3 linked regions of the Nothobranchius furzeri genome follow. The protein of the gene in region 1 binds, or shares a complex with, the protein of each later gene. Links are inferred from orthologs where the notes say so. Each region holds a gene or a part of one and is shown in the gene's direction. Other genes may lie near its edges.

What was found.
Region 2: exosc8 (region 1) and exosc2 share a complex: the UniProt entries of both Homo sapiens proteins name them as parts of the RNA exosome core complex. The link is inferred for Nothobranchius furzeri from reciprocal best matches to the Homo sapiens genes EXOSC8 and EXOSC2.
Region 3: exosc8 (region 1) and exosc1 share a complex: the UniProt entries of both Homo sapiens proteins name them as parts of the RNA exosome core complex. The link is inferred for Nothobranchius furzeri from reciprocal best matches to the Homo sapiens genes EXOSC8 and EXOSC1.

What each region holds. Positions count from the first base shown.
Region 1 is NC_091750.1:62,637,074-62,640,827, forward strand, and holds exosc8 (exosome complex component RRP43), read left to right. Parts: upstream 1-1,481; 5' UTR 1,482-1,546; coding exon 1,547-1,563; intron 1,564-1,826; coding exon 1,827-1,863; intron 1,864-1,960; coding exon 1,961-2,024; intron 2,025-2,209; coding exon 2,210-2,283; intron 2,284-2,357; coding exon 2,358-2,403; intron 2,404-2,537; coding exon 2,538-2,643; intron 2,644-2,726; coding exon 2,727-2,772; intron 2,773-2,846; coding exon 2,847-2,943; intron 2,944-3,023; coding exon 3,024-3,144; intron 3,145-3,232; coding exon 3,233-3,339; intron 3,340-3,461; coding exon 3,462-3,580; 3' UTR 3,581-3,681; downstream 3,682-3,754. UniProt on the Homo sapiens protein: Non-catalytic component of the RNA exosome complex which has 3'->5' exoribonuclease activity and participates in a multitude of cellular RNA processing and degradation events.
Region 2 is NC_091746.1:53,646,919-53,650,672, forward strand, and holds the start of exosc2 (exosome complex component RRP4), read left to right. Parts: upstream 1-1,013; 5' UTR 1,014-1,234; coding exon 1,235-1,356; intron 1,357-1,429; coding exon 1,430-1,531; intron 1,532-1,644; coding exon 1,645-1,690; intron 1,691-1,779; coding exon 1,780-1,869; intron 1,870-1,953; coding exon 1,954-2,019; intron 2,020-2,107; coding exon 2,108-2,176; intron 2,177-2,340; coding exon 2,341-2,517; intron 2,518-3,754. UniProt on the Homo sapiens protein: Non-catalytic component of the RNA exosome complex which has 3'->5' exoribonuclease activity and participates in a multitude of cellular RNA processing and degradation events.
Region 3 is NC_091746.1:82,296,248-82,300,001, reverse strand, and holds the start of exosc1 (exosome complex component CSL4), read left to right. Parts: upstream 1-1,347; 5' UTR 1,348-1,394; coding exon 1,395-1,452; intron 1,453-1,931; coding exon 1,932-2,047; intron 2,048-3,754. UniProt on the Homo sapiens protein: Non-catalytic component of the RNA exosome complex which has 3'->5' exoribonuclease activity and participates in a multitude of cellular RNA processing and degradation events.

The sequences.
Region 1 (3,754 bases):
AACAAAACACCCCTGGAGAGGTTCACAGCTGATTAGATCTAGAAAGCTGCAACTGGTGTTAAGCACTGTTTTGTTTCATCCGACATCACGAGTTGCCAGTTCCTGCAGGGGAGGAGTGTGTATTGTGACAGTGTTTTTTTTTCTCAAAACCCAGCTTACTAACAGATTTGTTATAACAGCTTTGATAGAATAACAGAAGGTGAGTAATGCAAGAGAACTAAGTTATTTTCTACAGGGCTGCCAACTTGTGATGGTTTCCATGCACGAGGAGGTGTGTGAAAGGGGTCAGACACGTGTCTCACGCTCAATGGGAAGCTAAGTCACACCCATCTATTTCCGACCATGGGTCCCCAACAGGGCTGGACTGGGACAAAAAATCAGCCAGTTCGTTTTGAGCCGAGACCGGCCCACCAGCTAGTGAAGTTAAAAAGCAATGACGCCTATTTTTTACACCACCTCTCTAACCCTGGGCCTCGATATTCCATATCCATCATGTTTTACTTGTTTCCCTGCTCCAGCACAAAAACTGAGCTTATTTTGCTGCTTAACCCTTTGGTGCATAACGGTCACTACAGTGGACAGTTACTCAAAATTGTTATTTATTTATTTTTGCTATTAAGCACAGCTGTTGAAGACTTTATTGCATATGAGCCCTTCCATTTGGACTTCAGTAAGTCAAGCCACCATATTTCATGTTCAGAATGCACATTGTCCACTGAGATGGACATGTAATAAAGTATTTGTAAATTAACAAAATGGTACAAAAAATATTTGTTGAAATTTGTTTCATTCACACCTAAAGATGAATGAAAAAAATAGTTTAAAAAATCATGGTTGAAGATTTCATAATTCATGCATCAGAGGGTTAATGCAACAAAACATCAACAGACCAAGACAATCTTCAGATATCTAACTGCTCGTTTGAGGTTGAGTAAAGAAAACAGTAAAGCAGAAAATAATCAGAAAACCGAGTTGCCATGCATGCACTGCTCACACACACACACACACACACACACACACACACACACACACACACACACACACACACACACACACACACACACACACACACACACGCACGCACGCACGCACGCACACACACACACACACACACCAACATCAAAACACATGACTTGTTTAACAGTTTAATTTTGTATTTTAAAAGAATGATCCAAACCATTCTAACTAAAAAGTTCAGTTTGAAGACATAAGAGAATCCACAATTTTGCTCTGGATTGTTCGGTTAGGAAAGAGGAGTTTGTAAGGAATATTTATTCACTGTCAATTGTTTAAACACTACAATATTGTTTGTTTAGCAAATTAATATATCGAGTTTTATTTAATCTTTATTAATTGTGACCGGTTATCAATTTGAAAGTTTTATTGACCTTACAACACCAACTCATTTTTGAAAAAGACGAATTTGTTGGCCAGTTTTTCGTTCATTTCCGAACTCCAGTCCAGTTGGTGGCGGTAATGCACACTTGTCGTTGGTAATCACAGTTTCGTCGCGGCCACCGTAGTTCACGTGGGTAATCAAAACATCATGGCGGCTGGTTTCAAGTAAGTCATTTTTAACATGTATTTTTCTTTATATTCAGACTTTGATTTTCATCAAATATATATCATCGATATATTTAATGTTCAGTGTTATATCTAAATTTAGTTTGCTTGTCAAAAAATACAGAAACAACATTTCTGTGACGTCAGTTGGGCTAGTGACGGGATAGTACACTTTATTTGTTAGATTTATCGGTCTGCTGTTTATTGCAGGATCGCACGTGTTTGTTACTAATTTGTCTTATTTAATTTCTTTAAACTTTCAGGACGGCGGAGCCTCTGGAGTATCACAGGAGCTTTTTGGTTCGTCAAATACATACAAACTATACCCAGTAGAAACCCATAAATGTTATTATTATTGTTATTAGTGTCATTGTAATTGCAAATGCTTCATTTGCAGAAAGAAAATTGTAGACCTGATGGGCGGGAGTTGTCTGAATTTAGAAGTACAACCTTAAACATTGGTAAGAAAATAAATTAAATGTTTCCTCCCTGTAATAAAACATAATTTTAGATATGATGTAAATAAAATAATATGTACTTCTAATACAAAATGAGTCGGCTCATATTTTTTCAACTCCAACATTTTCCAGTGCCTAAAGGGCTGATCACTGCCAGCTGTAACAGTTTTTACTTATTTTCTGTTCAGGGTCTATTTCCACTGCAGACGGCTCCGCTCTGGTAAAGCTGGGAAACACCACGATCATCTGTGGCATCAAAGCGGTACTGGTGCACAATGACTCAAACCGCTACTGCTAAGATTTCTTTAGGTGTTAAAGTCATGTGTTCATATGCAGGAGCTGACTAACCCTACTGTGGATGCACCTGGTAAAGGTTACATAGGTAAGTTCTGAACACATTTTACAGCCTCCTTGTTTCCATCAGGTTTTCATTGCTTAATTCTTTATCTCGTATTTTCTGTTTGATTCTGTATTTTATTATGACATCATCATCTGTCTATATATGTTTTAAAAAAGTGCCCAATGTAGACCTGCCACCCCTGTGTTCGTCCCGCTTCCGACCAGGCCCACCAGGGGAACAGGCCCAGGCTGCCAGCCAGTTCATCGCTGATATCATTGAGAGGTGTGTTAAGCCTTCAAACACCTTTAGTTTCCAGCTGTAGTGTTTCTGCCACTGCTTTGACTTAACCTTCATGTGTCGTGCAGCTCTGAGGTGATCAAGAAAGAAGACTTGTGCATTGGCCGAGGAAAGGTGATTTTAGACTCATGTGTGGACTTTATTTGTTGTAATATATTCAATCATAATTCTGCTAAATCTTGTTGCAGCTCTGCTGGGTCCTCTACTGTGACATCATGTGTCTCGACTATGACGGGAACATCCTAGATGCTTGTGTTGTCGCCCTTCTGGCTGCCCTGAAAACCAGTAAGTAGGGTTGAGACTTTACTGAAACGGTGCATGTAATAAATAAAATAAATCTATCTTTTAGTAATCTTTCCCTGCAGCACAACTCCCAGAAGTCACCATCAACAAAGAGACGTCCGCCCCGGAGGTGAATTTTGAAAAGAAACACAAACTTAACATTCACCGACATCCAGTCAGCGTCTCCTTTTGCATCTTTGATGAGTACGTTTGTTTGATTTCAATTCAATTTTTATTTTAGGTACAAGTGCCATTTTGTTCTTCTTTAAGCCTTTTTGGTTTTCCTGTGCAGCTCCATACTGATCGTAGACCCCACCGCCGAGGAGGAGAGCCTGTCGACGGCACGCCTCACTGTGGTGATGGATGAGGAAGATCAGCTGTGCTCCTTACATAAACCAGGTCAGAGATGGCACATCTGTGATCTTTAGATTTGTGGTGCTTCTGCCATGAAATAAAGCTTCAGATTATTTTGAGTATTTTGAGAAAACGGGGATAAAAGGCTCTGCAAACTTTGCCTCCAGGTGGAACGCCACTGTCGGGAGAGAAGCTGCAGGAGTGCATCAAAAGAGCAACGGCACGAAAGGGAGAGATCCACAAACTTATTGAGAAAGTCATAAAAAGCATGAAGACAGCTCAATAAATACACTCAGACAACATTTTTTATCTAAAAGTTGTATTTTCCACTGTCAATATATATTCTTTTTTAATAACAATAAAACTGCTGACAAAGACTTAAAAAAATTATCTTTTCAGTGTCCAGAAATGTCTCACGCACACTTAGCTGATGTCTTAATTCATGTAAGAATATGCTCAT
Region 2 (3,754 bases), on another chromosome or scaffold:
ATTTCATTGTCAGATTACATGATTGTCTAGTATTTCTTCATGTAGACATTTATTTCATAATGTCTTATTTATTTATTGAATTTTGAATACTTTTGAGTTCCATAAAACAAAGCTATTTGCAGAGATAAGTCTGGGTTGGGGTGTTTGAAAAAATTAATTTGAGAGCAAAACAATAAAAAAGATTCTGACCTAGCCTAGAATCTAGACCGTCAATTGCTGAAGCAAAAATAATCTTGCATTATACTATATATATGTATTTTTAAGAGTCCACAATAAACTTATAGGGATGGCATTGGGATTATAGATATTTTAAGAACTCATCAAAACATTAATTACAGTTGAAAAAATACTGGATTGAGCTGAGAATGTATTAATTTAAATGGCATACATCTGTAAACATGAAAAGAAAAAAATTGATGTTTGGCTGTATTGTTGAGCTAACTTAAGAAAGCTCTAGAAAGGAAACAACCCCCAGGAGTCTGCATCCAAGTGTGAAATCCTCCTCATCACTGTTGTCTGACCTATGCATGCTCCAGGGGATGAATCAAAGTAAAGGCTGGGTGCAATCTGATGGTTTTCTAGGCTATATATTTTTGTACAAACTTTCATGAAAACAAATTTGAATTTATTTAAAAAGTCCAACCCTAATTATCCTGTTTTTGTATATTTTTCTGGAATATGTTTTTACCTTGCCTAATAAAATCACAAATTCTGCAAAGTAAACAAAAACTGAGGGAAGTGAAATTGATAAAGAAGAAATAAAAGCCCTGAATTAACAATTAAAGCGGGCTTATAAGATTCCACCAGTAAAACTGTGATGAATCTTATGATCACAGAAGTGGAATGATTTAGCTATTATTGAGTTGTTTGTTAATCTGAACCTGGCTGAGTCAGTAGTACTGCATTGATCTTTATTTGGCGGAAAGAGAGCAGTAACAAAACATCAATTTCTGTCGCTTTTACTCCGTACCAGTAGGGGGCGTTAGCTGGTCTCACAAACTACGTAACAGAGCAGAAGTAGGAGAGTGTGCTACCTAGCATCACAGACATGCATGGTCTGTTATAGTTATATTGTTGTCCATTTTTGTAGCTTGTTGAGCCAGTTGGTTTTTAAACGACTGTTAACTTTGGGGAGGAAACCCTTTCTTAAATTTTCTTCACTATTCTAAGTGTGCACATAGAAGTAAAGCCCTGTGGACTCTGTCGCGAGCGGGAAAAGTAAGAAGAAACAAGCATGGCAGTGGACATGAGATTACCGACTGTTAAAAAAACAATGACTTTGTCGGCTCCCGCTGTATACCGGAAAGATTTGGTAGTTCCCGGCGATGTTATCACCTCAGACACAGGTTTCATGAGGTGGGTACTGGTTCTACTGTGAAGCCTGGGAGTAAAGGCCTGGTAACCATTACTTTACCTCGTTTTCTCACAGGGGTCATGGAACATATGTCGACGATGATAAACTAACGGCTTCAGTTGCAGGAAAGGTGCAAAGAGTTGACAAACTAATCTGCGTCAGACCTCTAAAGACCAGGTACGCCATTAATTTAAGAGCCATGAAACATCATTTACCTCTGCACTGCTTTCACTTGCTATGTGTCCTGCTTTTATCTAAATGCAGTCCTATAACTCTGATGTGAATTACAGATTTAACGGTGAGGTTGGAGATGTGGTTGTTGGCAGGATCACGGAGGTGAACAAATGTTTTTGTGATCTAAAAACAGTAAAAAGATGTAGTACTTTCATCAAGAGTTTTCAGAATGGGGATGTTTTCAAATTCAGGTTCAACAGAAGCGGTGGAAGGTGGATACCAACTCCAGACTAGATTCGGTCCTCTTATTGTCATCTGTCAATCTGCCTGGAGGAGAACTGGTGAGATAGTAGAACGTAGCTTCATATGTTTTGGTTGAGATTTTTGTTTTTACTTTTGCTAAACTGATTGATTTTGCCTTTTAGAGACGAAGATCTGCAGAAGACGAGCTCACCATGAGAAAATACATCCAGGAAGGCGATCTAATCAGTGTAAGACACATTTGATTCAAAATGACCAACTTTTACTACCAGTTTTTTTTTATTCCTGACTGGGTTTGAACTTTTGTTTGTTTTTTAGGCAGAAGTGCAGTCTGTTTTTTCAGATGGAGCACTCTCACTTCACACTCGTAGTTTAAAATATGGAAAAGTAAGTTATAGCACACAGTGACACTGAGTAATCCCACTAATTTTTACACTAACACGTTCCTAATTATAAAAAGCTTCTTTTGTGGGAAAATAATCTGTAGTAATAATAATAATAATAATAATAATTTTAATCTCAATCTTATTTCAATTCTTTTTGACTGTCAGTTGGGTCAAGGAGTGCTGGTCCAGATTTCTCCTTCTCTGATCAAGAGGCAGAAAACACATTTCCACAATCTTCCATGTGGTGCATCTATAATCCTTGGTAATAATGGCTTTGTGTGGTTGTATCCCACGCTGGGACAACAGGATGAGGAAGCTGGGGGCTTCTACACCAGTTTGGAGGTACATTCAGAACCAGTCAAGAGAAGTTGTTCATAAACTTTATTGACTTGATTTTGATAGATGTGTGTGAGCGTTAAAGTGTGAGTAAAGCAGTTCAACATAATAAGTGATTTGTTTGAGAAACCTTGCTGGGTCTATTAAAGGTCAGTTTTGTGAGACATGATCTAGTATTTTAAGACATCATAAATGATAAACTACATGAATTTACCTAAAGGCACAAAGTATTTTTATGTCAAGAGAAGGAAAAGCTTCCTAAGGAATGAAAATTTGACCCTCTGACCTGACTTCTCACCTCTGTTTGTGAAGAAATACTTATTAAACATAATCTATTTAACACATCCAGACATGTAATGCTCTAAGAATTCCTCCTGGAGGAACGGGGCAGCCTTAGAGAGAAAAGCAACTTGAGACTGTTAAAGTATTGGGTATTGACCCTTTGCACGTGACCTCACGCCACTCATGTGACCGCCCCCTTCGCCATGACGGACGGCAAAAATACCATTTACACCTGTAGAATCCCCAGTGAAGCTGGTCAAAACAAGCCAGTTTGTAGCCTTTTATCGCTTTTATTTAGTTGATTTGACAGTAAAATGGTTTTAGCCTGCTGCATGGTCGGCTGCACTAAGAGACAAGGACATAAACTCAACTCGTTTTTTCTTTTTAATAAATTTGATGGGAGACTGAGGACGGAGACAAACTGCAGTGATCAATTAAGCGAAGTAGCCCTCAGATTTGCAGCGAACATGTTTTTACCGGGTAAGATTAATGTTCATTTATTTCACGAGGAAGACAGGGACAGGGATAAAGGTGATGTGTTCATACAAGTTATTGATAATCCTGATGGATGGGTATTTCACCCCGGATGACGCGCGCCGTCCACTGTTGTATAAAGCGAGACAATTATTAACAATATTAAAGCTCCGATGTATGATTACATGTGTTAAAATTACGTTATTTATTTATTTATATGAGCTTCAGCGTTCAGAGATCTCATTCCGATGTGAGAGCAGCAGCTGAACCCGGTAACACCACCAGCAACAGGAGCTGGTAGAGATCCAGACTTTTTAAAAATCTGCTTTGGTGTGAAGTGAAACGCTGTTTACAACATAAAGTTATAAATCCAGAGGGGTGGATTTAGGCAAAGTCAGCAACATGTTTACATCGGTGAACAGCTGCAGAGAGAACGTAAGCTAACGTTGGTAAGCTAGTTAACATACCGCTCTCTATGAGCCCCCGC
Region 3 (3,754 bases), on another chromosome or scaffold:
TTTTCCCTGAATACAATTTACAAGGCATTCAGTCCTACTAGAGACTACTGCAGATGTACTGATTCAATGAGTGTTCAACACCTTTTAAATGTCCTTATGCGTGTGAGGGTTGTTTCTGGGCGCTCTTGGTTCCCAAAGAAATTTATATTGCCAAACTTTATTCACAGGAGCAAAATTTTAAAAGTTTCCCTTATTTCTTTGATTCCACCCATCCATTTTCATCTGCTTATCGAGGGTCGGGTCGTGGGGGCAGCAGCCTAAGCAGGGAGGCCCAGACTTCCCTCTCCCCAGCCGCTTGGGTCAGCTCCTCCGGGGGAATACAAAGGTGTTCCCTGGTCAGCTGAGAGACACAGTCCCTCCAGTGGGTCTTCCTTTAGGTCTTCTTCTGGTTGGACGTGCCCAGAAAACCTCACCAGGGGGGCGTCCTAACTAGATGCCCGAGCCACCTCAACTGGCTCCTCTTGATGTGGAGGAGCAGCGTGTCTACTCCAAACCCCTCCTGGATGACCAAGCCTATCTTTAAGGGAGAGCCCAGCCACCCTGCAGAGAAAAATTTCGGCTGCTTGCATCCGCAATCTCATTCTTTCAGTCTCTACCCAAAGGTCGTGACCATAGGTGTGAGTTGGAACGTAGATCAACCAGGAAATCAACAGATCGGTACAACACCCACGTTACTGCAGACGCAGCACCAATCCGCCTGTCGATCTTGTGCCCCATCTTCTCCTCACGTGTGAACAAGACCCCGAGATACATTAACTCCTCCACTTGGGGCAGAACCTCATCCCTGACCTGGACAAGTTCTTCTACCATTTTCCGACTCAAGACCATGGTGTCGGATTTAGAGGAGCTGATTCTCATCCCGACTCCTTCACACTGTGCTGTGAACCGCTCCAGTGAGAGCTGGAGATTACGTTCTGATGAAGCCAACAACAGGACAACGTCATCTGCAAAAGCAAAGACTTTCTTAGCTTTTAAAAATAATTTCATATTTATGTTAAATCGTTAACAGTTATGAAAGAACAAAAGCTCAGAAACTATATTCCTTTTCAATAAATATTATCTTGTCAGCAAGATAAATAACTGATAAACCTTTAGTTTTTTTACCCTTTATGTGATTCTCTTGATGTTTGTGGTCTTTATTTGATACTTCAGCCATGTTTGTTTGTTCACACACTTAAATGAATGTTCTTTATATGTGCTTCATCTTTAATAAAGTAAAAACAAGTTTTCCCTTACAAACCAAAAACATAAAGGTTGGCGACACCCCGCGGAGAGTGTGAGTACAAATCGGAGCGCTTCGTTTTCTCGCACATGAGCACTGGAGCCTTCCTTCGCCCTTTTCCGGTCTCCACAGCCGGACCAATCAGAATCGACTCCAGACGACGTCCCAACCAATGAGCTCGCAAGCTACTCTTGTCGAAAACATGTCGCCCATGAAGTTGTGTGTTCCAGGTGAGTCCGCTGATTTAATGTTCCATACAAGGCACTGCGTAGATTTAGAACCGTGTTTTGGTCACGTACCAATTCCAGCTCGTGTAGACGTCGATGTGTCACTAAAGTATGCATTTAAACTTCAGTCAGAGGGCTTTAAAGTTGCCCCAACTGCTACACGCGTGGAATTAGCACATATTTATCATTCGTTCACACACCCAAAAGAAATCCGCTAACCAGCTTTAGTACTAAATTGTGTTTATGCTACATCAAAACAAAACGATCACTCACTAGACTATGCAGGATTAGCAGTTTGCCATGTTGATAAAACGAAATGAAAGGCAACTAAATCACAAACTCACATTAAAAATGAGAGGGTTTGACTAAAGTCACAAACAGTGGTTGTGCTCTTCAGGTGTGTTCATGTCTGTGATGTTAACACTGTTCGTTTGTTATTTTACTGTAGCGTTTTCTGACCCTTGTTGTCTGTTTGCACTCAGGTGACAAGCTTTGCAGTGAGGGAGACTGTAATCCAGGCGCAGGAGTATATCTGCGGCATGGCTACATTTACTCCTCACTCGCAGGCTTTGTGCTCAAGACAACCGAAGGCGAGAAGGTGAGGATCATAATGTAATACATATACTTAAAGAGCAAGTCACCCCAAATCAACTTTATTTTGTCTGATAAACTATATAAACGTGTATCTAATCGTGCTGCAGACCCGTGTTGTCAATAGTTTTGCACTTAAGTGCATTTTAGTTAAAATTTTAATTTTCTGCCTAAAACTGTCAGTGTTGTGCCATGGTCAGGTAAAAACTCTGCGCTGCATTTGAGTTTAAATCTGCCATCGGTATTGGCTAAAGCCTGATTCATGCTTCTCCGTCTGCGTCAGTGTGGAGACACGCAACGTCCTTGCGGGCCTGCCGGAGAGCTCCGCAAGGACGGACGGAGTCGAGCTCTCTTTTCTAAACATCCGTCAGTCGAGACGGACAACGCAAGCTTGTGATTGGTCAGGACGCCGCTGTTGTCTACAGCGCCGCCATTGCGCCCGCAAAAACATAAAGAGAGCCGAGGATAACAAGCGGCAGACACGGAGAAGCTTGAAGAATACCTCGCGAAAAACCTCTAAAATATGAACGTTTAATTCCCCGTGACTGGAGGAGTGAAAAGATGCGCAGCAAGCATTTTATTTGTGGACAGAAATGACAGGAAACCTGGGTTTAAGGTGGCGAGCGCATGAAGAAGACAATGAAAAAACATAATATAAACGCACTATCTTGGACCGATAAATGACAGGATACCACAGAACAGCGCTACGCCCTCTGTTGTCCTGCCGGGGAATTGCTTTGCAACACTCCAGGGGACGGAGAAGTATGAGAGCAAAACGCTTCCATCAATCCATGCGTGTCTGTCCCTTGCGGAGCTGACGGAGAAGCATGACCCAGGCTTAAGAGGTACCCTAGAACGTTAGTTGGTACCATATGATGTCACAATGCTGTGTGTGTGTGTGTTAGTGGCTCCGCCCTCTCGGTCTGCCAGGCAACAGCATTTGTTGCATTTTTCACACATGAAGTGGGAGTGGAGTACAACTCTGGTAGGGGGTGACTTGCTCTTTAAGTTTCAATGTTTAAAACTGATTCCAGGGAGCAAAATTGTGTCACATTTGATAAAATAAACAAAATAAATGCAGTTAGCCTCATTTCATCTGTAACTCGACTACTCTGCCTAAATTAGGTGAAATAAGAAAATCCAGCTAATGAATTACGACTTGGACAGAATGTGACTGAATTCATAATTTTAGGCAGTTTTTCTTGCACTCTGAAGCTTTTCTGTGTTTTTAAGCTTAATTCTTTAATGTTGAGATGAGCAGTGAAGCTCACACCCGTGATGATACAACTCTTTCTACATATTTTCTTAAACACTGCTTGGTCTCTATCCATTTGTACTAATTTATATAAATGAAATTCTTAATGTGATGGACAATGTTTAATTCCATTTAGGTGATTGTGGTATTTGGACTAGAGTTAATAGCTGTTGTATACAGTAGCTTTGTAGTGGACCAAAAATGATATAGTGCCTTCTAGGGTTCTACAACCCCTCCAAGGCATCACCCATGCACACACGCATTCACTTGCTGGTGGTAATGAGCTACAGTGTAGCTACAGCTTCCCAATGGTGCGCTGAAAAAGGTGAGGCCTTCCATACACTGGCACCACCATTCCCTCTGACCACCACCACCAGCAGGCAAGGTGGGTTAAGTGTCTTGCCCAAGGACACACCAGCAGAATTCTGTGCAGGGATCGATCCTACAACCCTTCGATCA